Oryzias latipes: one gene and its partners. The protein of the gene in region 2 binds, or shares a complex with, the protein of the main gene of each other region. Links are inferred from orthologs where the notes say so. Each region holds a gene or a part of one and is shown on either strand. Other genes may lie near its edges.

Region 1 (3,089 bases), on a different chromosome or scaffold from region 2:
TACCTTTCACCAGAATCTAAATAAAGTTAGTAAAGATGGACTTTTAGCTGCGACTAAGGAAAGCTTGAAGAACCCAAGGCGTGCCTCCTTCATATGTGTATCAGACAAGTTACCAAAGGTAAGTTACAGGTGAGACTACCAGACTTCCTTCTTACATCTCAGTGCTACCTGTGGACTCCAACATTAAGATTTCTGCCCTCCTCCCCCTGCCAGACTGCATGAACAGGTAAATCGGTGACATTTTACATGGAGCTGCCTCGCCGTAACGCAAAAATAAGAGCACACAAACAGACACACGCAGCTTGAAGGACACAACAGTTGGTTTCAGAGTTCTCATCTCCAACACGTTATTGCGGATTAAGTGTGCTTTCTTTTCCTTTTCAGTTCAAAGTCTTTAAAAACAATTGAAACAACAACATGCACAAGAACATAATTTAAAAAATGAGTTATAAAAAATATGAACTTCAGCCTCAACTTGAGCCAGACAAAGACCTGCGTTGTCCCCAAATCCATCCTACATTCTGATCCCACAAGACACACACTGAGCACCAGGTCCGTTTCAGGCTGGCTTTGACCTCCCACTCTTTGTTTCACTAGAGGTAATCTCAGCAGGAGGAAATTTGAAACAGCTTTTCTGAAATACTGTCTTCATTCAAAACAGCTGATTTGAAAAAAACATTCACAGCCTTCTGAATCGATCAAGCCCCAAACGTGGCATCAGTCTGTATCAGCATGGAGAAGAGTATCTGAGGTCCAGAGCAGTTCTTGACCCGATGCTTTCAGAAACATCTTCATGAATGAGTGATCTGGAAAGAGTTTGAGTCCTATACAGTCTGTTTCCTCAACCTCAGCAGAGTTCAGCACCACACTCCTCCACAGACGCAGAAGGCCAGCAGAGGGGCTGCAGCTCCAAACGTGGAAGCTGACACATCGTACTCCATCCTTTAAACAGGCTCTTCACGGCAGCGTCCTTAACGCTTAATCATCGTATTAAATCTCACTCACAGCTGAACTGAGCTGCAGCTGGAGATCATCAGGGTTCATCCAGGTTCTTCAGAGGGTTCCCGCAGCAGTCCGTCTCAGAAGGACCCTAAGTTACCTGGCGAGTCTTTCAAGCAAACTTCTCTGCTGACACAGAGCACTGAAGAGAAGGGGGGTCAAGAGAAGCACAACGGGGAATTTTCCAGACTAAAGGTTGGCCGGGTGCTGGAGGGACGTTCATGAGTGGGTGCAGCGCTGCGAGGGCTCAGTGGTGCCAAAGGGAACCAGCAGGTTGGGGATCAAAGGAGGAGAGGCAGGGGGCTGAAGCTCAGAGGAGGAGGATGGAGGGGCGGTTTGGGGAGAGGCAGAAAAGATGAGCTCCACAGATTAGGTGAGGGTGATGTAGGCCGAGGCCTTCTCCTTCAGTTGTCTCAGACACAGATGACAGCTCCAGCTCCCTGGAAGACATACATCAGGAGGTCAGAGTGGGTTATTGTAAAGCCTGCCGATTTAATCCCATGTTTCACACAGAGCGTTAAGCAACACTGTAAATGAAAGCTGCGTGTTGAAGCGCCACATGCTGCTCCTGCAGTTTATGGATTCAGAGGATTTGACGAGGAGTTTGCTGTGGAATTTGGCGTGAGCGCTGTGACATTAATTAAACATCAAGTGTGGCTGATGCTGACGTGCACCTCTCAGCCTTAACGCTTCAGAGTGAATGTTAATCTGGCCTGAAGATGTTGTGCAAGCATTAAGCACAGACGCTGTGCCATTCACATTGTGACAGAACACAGCATTTCTCTCAGAAACAGCTTAGAACAAATAAAATTTGTGGGCGGGGCTTGACACTGCTAGTGCGTGTTAAACGCAAGTGGCTCTGATCTGGTTTCTTCAGCCAAGTGACATTTTCACCATGGAAACAGGTTATTTTTCTACAACTCATCTCCATGACAACAGAAGAAAACATCCTAAGGCAGCCATCTTATGTGGGCAAGTAGCATTTTTTTCTCCATTCTGGAGTCACAGCCTCGGCATTGAGATTCTTTGTTAAGACGTTTCAGAAAAAAGACGCAAAGTCCTGCAAAAATCCAGAGTTTCCATCCTCTGAGAACACATGTATTTACAGAGCTCTGTGAAAGAGTAGAGAACGACATAAACATTGATGCATACCCTCTGGCGGTTCAGACATAGGAGGACTCAGACAGTACATGTGGTACCCTCTGTCACAATCATCACAGAACAGCAGCTGGTCCTGCAACAGATCAGAGGAGCAGGTGTTATTAAAAGGCAACAGATTTGAAATGAAAGCTGAGGATGCAACAGTGGATGTAACGTGGGAAGTGGTTTGTTTGTGTATATAGGAAGAACCAGAGTGTTATTTTAAACTGTACATCCACTTGATTATATAAAACCCTTGTAACCAAGTGAACTTTTATTTTGTAGACAGCAGGGAGCAGCAGTCTCAGCACTGTTATGCAGTTTCACGATGTCTGAAAGGAATCACTGGAAATGTCTGCATGATGTTGTAATGATAGAACAATGCCGTGGCCTGAGGACCAAATCAGCTCAGAGGATAAATGTCCCAACCTGCAAATTTACAGAGAAATTCAGTTTTTTTTTACCAAAGCAGGGTGGTGCTATGATTACAGGCACTGTGGATGTGTGTGTACATATGTGTGTTTGTGTGTGTTCTCTTTTTGTATGTGTGTACGTTCATGTATGTGGTTGTGTGTGCATGTGTGTCTGTGTGTTTTTTTGTGAATGCGTGTGGGTGTGTGTGCATGCATTCATGTGTGTGTGTATTCATATGTGTCTTTGTGTTCCTATGTGCATATGTGTGTTTATGTGCATGTGTTTGTGACCATGTGTCTAAGGTGAACATGCAGTGAGGTCATACGTCATTCTCAGAGGTGCCGCAGAGGCTGCAGGATTTGCACTCGATGCATTGCCAGCGATAGGTCCTCACAGCAGCCGTCATGTTCACTGTAAACTGCAGGCAGGAAGGGTGGCCTGGTTACACACACACACACATTCACACACACACACACACAAACAGAGAGAGACACACACATACACCCACACGTGAGACTAGATTTATCAATGTATTT
Region 2 (3,654 bases):
GTAACAAGCCACCTAGTGGTGACTTGGTGAACTGACTGGTCTGTGGTTTCAACAGCAAACAGGACGTCTCACCTAGAATACGTTTTTTTATTTTATTTCAATCCCATAAGCGGGTTTATTCAGATTTAGTCAGGCGTTGCTTAATCCTCTTGCCTCTAAGCATTAAAACTCAATGTGCTTTTCTTTGTTTTGCTTTCAGGGCAATAAAATTTACCAGGAAACGTAAACTTACATCGTCTTTTTGCAAACCTATTTGTAATCTACGGTAATATTTTAATTTTTTTGCTGCATGTTCCCCATTTAAGGTCACAGGGTTGCTGGAGCCTGTCCTTGCTACAGTTGGACAGAGGCGGGGTACGCCCTGAACAGGTCGACAGTCTTTTATTTTGAAAATTTGAACGGATTTGGTCTTCCTGCCTGAAAGACATCAAACAGTGGTGATGCACCCTTTCTAAGCTTTCAGCTTTTGTCTTATTTAAAGACATTTTAAACTTTTACATTTTTACATGTTTTGATTTTATTCTTTTATTTATTGGCCGCTTTTAATTGCTGCTACTCAAAATGAGCGAACCAAAAAATAAAGCTCTAAAGAGTCATACGAACATTGTTCTTTGGTTCTCCAGGGGGGGAAAAAACATTTTTATTATCAATCACAGTGGATTAAAATAAATAAACAACACTTAAAAACAAATACCTGAAAGAGTTTTATAAATTATTCTTAAACTTTCAGACAGATCAGATGTTGGAACAGATTTGATCTTTAAATCAAATTTGTGGCAAAATAAATAAAATGATAAGAATCAAAAGCTTTTCTGTGCGGCGTCTTCGAGCGAGCTGGACTTCCCCGCAGCGCCGTCACGTTCCACGACCTTTTCCTTTCTGGAAACATTATTTTTATCAAGTTTCGTCCAAACCTCCCCAGTTACCGCCGTGGAGGCCGGACCGACCCCTCCCCCTGATGAAGGCAGACCTTTTTTTCCATTAACACCGGAGCGAACGGCTGCATACAAGGCTGTTTAAGCGTGAGTCTTTTAGAAACAACCAGCGGCTGCCCTTCACTCCGCATCACCGCAGAAATCTGCTTTTTGTTTAAAAAAAATCCACTGGAGGAGTTTCAGAGCGAACGTGACGGCTTCTCAAGGTTCCTCTTTTCAGCCGGCCGCTCGGGTGCTGCTCTCTCAATGACTCAGTCCAAAGAATGTTGTTTCCACCTTGAGATACAAATAATCAGCAGGCCCCCCCCTATAGGCTGAAGAGCCGGGTCCCCCCCTCCCCTCCTCTGAATAGACTCATCTTCAGAGCTTTATTAAAATGTTCTTTTTCATCATTTTCTCCCCTCTTTGTCAGATAAACAAAGATTTGGCCGACGATCCCGCATGCATACATACAAAAAATATCTAATATTTAAATAATATATATTTAAATATATTCCCTACATAAATCAAGGTTTTTGTCTTTGTTATAAACTTTTAACCTTACCCAAAATGGGATAATTCCAAGTTTCTCTGATGGAAATATTAGGATATCTTTGAAATTTAATCTTCAAATTCAATTAAAATAAGTAAAAAATCCTTTATTGAGGATAAATGTTGCAATAATTCTTTTATTCTTGTCAAATAATTAAAGAATTTTAATTTGGATTGATGGTAAACGCTTGGCACATGATATTCTTAATTGGATTTTCAATTAGTTTCATTTTATAGTTTGTGGGTGTGCGCCAAAGCCTCCCAGCCAGCTCTCGTTTGAAAAACAGGGACTTCCTGGTTAAATAAATATTCAGCCAAAAGGAACTCGTCTGATGTTGCTTGAATTTGTCCTACAGAAGTTCTTTCTTCCTCTTAATCCTCCCGTTTCTGGCTCAGGCTTAACCACGTCTGTTAATCTACATTTTGTGTGTATTTCTGTGAAAAACACCCTAAATGTAAAGCAATATTGCTCTTTTTGGTGCTTAAATTTTCCAACGTCATGGTTTTTTTGTTGTTGTTTTTGTTATTCTGCTCTTAAAAATGTATAAAAATATTTCATTTTAAATTGCTTTCTGATCTGATCATCGTTTACTCTCCTAAACTTCCAAGTCAGTCCTTTTACATTATGATAAATCTAAAATATTTATGTTTAACATCTGACATTCTGTTAGGATTTTCTGCTCGATTCGTCTCAGTTTGTAATTTTTCTTCTTCCGCATTGCGAGAGCTGTTGGATCATTTAAATCCGTTAAAAATGAATGAATTTCTCCTAATTGGTGGAAAAAAGATTTATCATGGCCGGGATATCAGCTCTATTTTATTCCGACTTTTTCCTTTTTGTTTATTTACTATATTTGAGATTCTTTAATAGGAATGACTGTATATTAATACATTTATGTACGCTTTTGGTTGGTGGGATACCTTAGGAAAAAGTGAACTTTGGTTGAAAAACATTGATCTAAATAGTTAATAAGAGGTGATCTGCCTATATTTTCTAACTTCTTTCTAATCTCCAACATTTAAGTCTTCATTTTTTTTAGTGAAAATGGTATTTTACTCCACAACTCAGAGATGAACTTCTAATGAACTCCTCCTGCCGCTCTGCAGAAACTATGACCTTGAAAACCACACGTTTGTTGATTTTGCTAATAATGGTAATCAAAAGACCTTTGGGGGTGGTTTGAGAATAGATCCAAAAAGGATTCAAGTGGAACTTTGAAGAAACGTAACAGAGTTTATCCTGTTCGTAATGAATCCATTAGTTGTAATCACTTTAATGCAAATGTCTGCTGGCAACCTTCATGACAAAAACCGCCAAACGCTCCACTCCAGCTCACCTGCTGGTCGCCTACCTGCCGTTTCAGTGGCACCGCACGCCCACCACCCAGGAGACGGACGGCTTCCAGGTGAAGCGGCCGGGCGACGTGAGCGTGCGCTGCACGCTGCTGCTGATGCTGGACTACCAGGTGAGGGGCCGCAGACTCCACGCCGCCTGCATGTCTGAGGGCGCCGCGCCGAAGGCTTGAACGTGCGTGAAAAGCCGAGTAACGTGATGACCTGGCCTCCACAGCCCCCCCAGTTTAAGCTGGACCCTCGCCTGGCTCGCCTGCTGGGCATTCACACGCAGACCCGCTCCTGCATCATCCAGGCGCTCTGGCAGTACGTGAAGACCAACAAGCTGCAGGACTCCCACGATAAGGAGTACATCAACTGTGACAAGTACTTCCAGCAGGTGCGTGACGTCATAATGCAACAAGATCCCACCAGTTTGACCCTTTTTTAATTGTTTTTCATGAATTTAACTGATATTCCTCAAGACAAATATGCAAAAAGCTGAACGTTTTTTGGCTCTGCTATCATCCGTTATGGATAAATGATTTAGAGGATCTGCAGAAATGGCTGTTTGGTGGTTTTCCTGCAGTAAAAAAACATTCATGATTATTAATGAGCACAGAAACGCACTAAAGCGGATGGAGACCACCAGGAGGAAGAACTCGGTCTGGATGGATGAAAACAGGGCTAAGAGTCCTTTTTTTTTTAACTTCTCAGAAATCTGGGATGCTGCATCCTCTACAGAGAAGAGACCACCCAGCCGGTTATCAGCCTGTGATTCAAACTCTTGAAGGACACAAGCTCCTCGCACAAAGATTAGATCAGGGACGGCTAATTCGTTTTTATCAACAACAAA
Region 3 (4,227 bases), on a different chromosome or scaffold from region 2:
TTATAATGAGAACAAAATGTCACAAAAATATGTTAAAAACACACAAATAACGACTGTCTTTGAGTGGGACCTTAAAGATATTTAAATAAAAGAGTCGGGCAATTACTGTGTCATTATTATAAAGCTTTTTCTAGTGATTACAACTGAAGCAAACTTACATCTCTTTTCTATGAACTGGTGCAGAAGGCAGGATTTGCCTGTTCCAGCATTTCCAATCACTAGGAATTTAAACAGAAAGTCTGCAGAGGGAACACAGTAGTAACATAGATAAAGCAAACAGGGTTTGAATATGCTGCCTTGTTATTAATAAACTCAACTATTCTTAATTTTTTTTTGATACAGTTGTTGACATGTACACATCTGATGTCTACACTATACAAATCAAGACAAATGTGTCGTAAACAGATCGAACAAAGCCTTATATATATATATTTATTCTTTACTCCCACTAAGATAATTATCATGTTTAATGTTGGTTCAATTGATTGAACAGTTGTAGCATAGTGTAATTTGAGCAATGCCTCACAAAACACAGAGATATCCTATCATCACTTGCGTTTGCAAAAGAAAAGCGGGAGTCTCTTGCTTTGTGTCCTAGTGCTTATCCCGGGAACAATAGCATCTCCTATAGTCACAGCTTCTTGCATTATAAAGCTTTACTAATACACCTGTACCCGGAAGGCAGATTTATTAACGCTGACATTTGAGTTTAAAGGCCAAAACCTTCCTACTCCTCAGTGGCTCGGTTAGCCTGCCAGCTAGCTATTTGTTTACGAAGGGACCTCATCATCCCTTTCCTGCCATCTGTGTGTGAGATTCTAACGGGTATAAAGCAAGACAGCCTCCTTACCGTAAGACTCCGACATCCTCGGTGTGTCAGCTAAGCTGCAAGGCAGAGAAAGGCGAAACTGTTATTTGTTTAGCTTGCTAAGTGATGGAAATAGTCCTGTTGGTGATTTCCTTGGATTCTATGATTTCCTCCTCCAACTTCCTGTACGGTGTGTGTGGGTTTTTTTTCTTCAAAATAAAAGCATTCTGAAATGACACTTATGCCACATAGTCCTCAAACTACCGCGTGGGGGTGATGTTTGGATATGTTCTTATGGTTTCAATTAATGAAAAATAAATTCTCGCCGTTCTAAGTAAATTTTAAAAACAGCCCATTTCGCTGAGAGTTTTATCTATATGTAAATTAATTGGTTTGCATGTTGTGTACAAATTCTCTCTTTTTAACATATTTTTTGGAGGATCTAGGAGGTGGCGCTCTGAATTTACACAAACGTCAACCGAGTCCGTGGTTGTCCAAAGAAGAAGAAACGTAGTTTCCCCCGCTAATCATTAGCCTAGCTGTGGGCATTATTTATCTTAAAATGGCTACATTATTCCCTATTATTAGACCACCAAGTGATAGCAGTCCCGCTACTCCTGGGGCGCACTCCATGAAGGTGATTTTTTTCTACTTTGATAAATATCCATTAGCTGTTGTTTACGGGGAAACATGACGATGTTTTGCTAACAGATAGCTAGCTAGCCAACGGACGTTTCCATTCACTAGGACAACTGTCAGCCACTTTTAGCAAAATCATTTGTTTTCAAATGTGCTCAAATTACTTCCTCTTGAAGTAATTTGCTCCTATTATTCGTGTATTTCTCTATTAGTTTGCAACGTTGAAAAAATATATAAATAAAAAAAAACTAGATTGTGTAGCCATTTAAATATAAAGTGTTGCTAATTTTTTCCCTGTGTAATCCTAGTCAAACTAGTTTTGCACATGTTCCCATTTTCACAATAATACGGAGCCCCTAAAGGGCCATTGATGAAAAAAAAAAAAACTTGAGGAAATTTTTTTTTTTTGAAGTAAAAAAAAATTCTTTGAGCTAAAAATTTTTTTTTTGAAGTAAATAGGAAAAAAAACTAACTGGTGCGCACCAGTTAGTTTCAGGTGCGCACCAGTTAGTATCAGGTGCGCACCAGTTAGTTTCAGGTGCGCACCAGTTAGTATCAGAAGATATCAGATAGTTGACCTGCTTGCTCATTGTGCACCAAGTAGCTACAGTTGTCTTGAGAATGGCTAAAGTTGAGGATATGGACCTTATAAACTTTCTGAAAACACGAAATATTACTGACAATGTCATAATGTCACCTGAAACTAATTGGTGCGCAGCTGAAACTAACTGGTGGGCACCTGATACTAACTGGTGCGCACCTGAAACTAACTGGTGGGCACCTGATACTAACTGGTGCGCACCTGAAACTAACTGGTGCGCACCTGAAACTAACTGGTGCGCACCTGATACTAACTGGTGCGCACCTGATACTAACTGGTGCGCACCTGAAACTAACTGGTGCGCACCTGATACTAACTGGTGCGCACCTGATACTAACTGGTGCGCACCTGATACTAACTGGTGCGCACCTGATACTAACTGGTGCGCACCTGATACTAACTGGTGCGCACCTGATACTAACTGGTGCGCACCTGAAACTAACTGGTGCGCACCTGATACTAACTGGTGTGCACCTGAAACTAACTAACTGGTGCGCACCAGTTAGTTTCAGGTGGGCACCAGTTAGTTTTTTTTTTCCTATTTACTTCAAAAAAAATTTTTTTTACTCCAAAAGAATTTTTTTTACTCCAAGAGAATTTTTTTTTACTTCAAAAAAAAAATTTTTTCCTCCATTTTTTTTTTTTCATCAATGGCCCTTTAGGGGCTCCGTACAATAAGCTTTTCGATTCTATATATTTTGGTGTTCATCTGTTTGAAAAAAAATGTTGGTGAATCTTTTTTCCACTTCTGTAGGAAGATGTAATTGATGAGGTATCTAATGATGGGAGCCAGCCACCGAAAAGGAGGAGAATGGGTTCAGGGGACAGCTCTCGGAGCTGTGACACCTTCAGCCAAGAGCTTGGGTAGGCTACTTGTTTTTGCATTACAATTTGCCATTATTCTTAAGTAATTGCGTCAGATACCAACTTATAAATCTAATGTGTTGTTCCTGCCCCCACCTCCTCATCTAGGGTGACTTATTTCCCAGCAGAAAACCTAATAGAGTATAAATGGCCTCCTGATGATACAGGAGAATATTACATGCTGCAAGAACAAATCAGCGAGTATTTGGGTGTCACGTCATTCAAACGCAAATATCCTGGTAAGAATTGAACAATAATTCACAAAATGATCAGGAAAGGAAATGTTTAAGTGCGGTTGATTTAGCAACTGCCCAAATTATGTTTTGACCAGGGAATTTTTTTTAACATTCTTGTGCAGATATGGAGAGGAGAGACCTGTCTCACAAAGAAAAGCTCTACCTACGTGAGCAAAATGTTATCACTGAGACGCAGTGCACCCTGGGTACGAGCCAACCCTAAAACTCTTTGTTAATGCACAGACTTCATACATTTATTTATATTTCTTACATAATGTAGTGCTGTTGTATTTATATGCAGGATTGACAGCTTTGCGGAGCGATGAAGTGATCGACTTGATGATAAAGGAGTATCCAACCAAACACTCTGAGTACTCTGTGATATTGCAGGAAAAGGAGCGTCAGAGAATAGCTAAGGAGTACTCTGTAAGAACACCAGACTAGAACAACCTTTAGTTTTTATTAGAAATTGTCGAAACGCACGAACAAATAGTTGTACTCTCTTGTGCTTTTGCAGCAAATGCAGCAGCAGAACCCTCAGAAAGTGGAGGCAAGCAAGGTTCCTGAGTACATAAAGAAAGCTGCAAAAAAAGCTGCTGAGTTTAACAGCATCTTCAACAGGGAGCGAATGGAAGAGAGGAGAGCTTACTTTGACCTCCAGACTCACGTAAGTCTAATGGCAGATGGTTTAATAAATCTGCATCAGTGCAACGTTGGTTGAGCTTTTGACTGATGCAACTCCTTTTTGTCCTCTGCTTTTTGTCTCAGGTTATTCAGGTGCCCCAGGGAAGGTTCAAAGTTCTTGCTCCAGAACTAACCAGAACAGGACCCTACCCTGTTGCTCTTATCCCAGGTCAATTCCAAGATTACTATAAAAGGTACGTTCCATAACTGTTAGCTCTTCGTAAGTGACAGTAGTCTCTCAGTTAACGGTAAATAGATTTTAGATACACGATTGTGTTGTTTGTGCCAGGTACTCACCCAATGAGCTGCGCTACTTGCCATTAAACACTGCTCTGTTTGAGCCTCCTCTGGATCCAGAGCTTCCTGCTCTGGACTCTGAACCTGACTCGGACGAT

The links.
Region 1: smarcd3 (region 2) and dpf1 share a complex: the UniProt entries of both Homo sapiens proteins name them as parts of the neuron-specific chromatin remodeling complex. The link is inferred for Oryzias latipes from reciprocal best matches to the Homo sapiens genes SMARCD3 and DPF1.
Region 3: smarcd3 (region 2) and phf10 share a complex: the UniProt entries of both Homo sapiens proteins name them as parts of the neural progenitors-specific chromatin remodeling complex. The link is inferred for Oryzias latipes from reciprocal best matches to the Homo sapiens genes SMARCD3 and PHF10.

The regions. Positions count from the first base shown.
Region 1 is NC_019871.2:18,166,026-18,169,114, reverse strand, and holds the end of dpf1 (zinc finger protein neuro-d4), read right to left. Parts: intron 2,992-3,089; coding exon 2,879-2,991; intron 2,234-2,878; coding exon 2,152-2,233; intron 1,440-2,151; coding exon 1,369-1,439; 3' UTR 631-1,368; downstream 1-630. UniProt on the Homo sapiens protein: May have an important role in developing neurons by participating in regulation of cell survival, possibly as a neurospecific transcription factor. Belongs to the neuron-specific chromatin remodeling complex (nBAF complex).
Region 2 is NC_019878.2:21,175,054-21,178,707, forward strand, and holds part of smarcd3 (SWI/SNF-related matrix-associated actin-dependent regulator of chromatin subfamily D member 3), read left to right. Parts: intron 1-2,830; coding exon 2,831-2,932; intron 2,933-3,036; coding exon 3,037-3,198; intron 3,199-3,515; coding exon 3,516-3,623; intron 3,624-3,654. UniProt on the Homo sapiens protein: Involved in transcriptional activation and repression of select genes by chromatin remodeling (alteration of DNA-nucleosome topology).
Region 3 is NC_019861.2:24,495,800-24,500,026, reverse strand, and holds the start of phf10 (PHD finger protein 10), read left to right. Parts: upstream 1-1,275; 5' UTR 1,276-1,370; coding exon 1,371-1,445; intron 1,446-2,802; coding exon 2,803-2,912; intron 2,913-3,020; coding exon 3,021-3,151; intron 3,152-3,270; coding exon 3,271-3,354; intron 3,355-3,449; coding exon 3,450-3,574; intron 3,575-3,665; coding exon 3,666-3,815; intron 3,816-3,916; coding exon 3,917-4,026; intron 4,027-4,121; coding exon 4,122-4,227. Other genes in the region: rab4a (ras-related protein Rab-4A), read right to left, coding at 159-239, 851-866. UniProt on the Homo sapiens protein: Involved in transcription activity regulation by chromatin remodeling. Belongs to the neural progenitors-specific chromatin remodeling complex (npBAF complex) and is required for the proliferation of neural progenitors.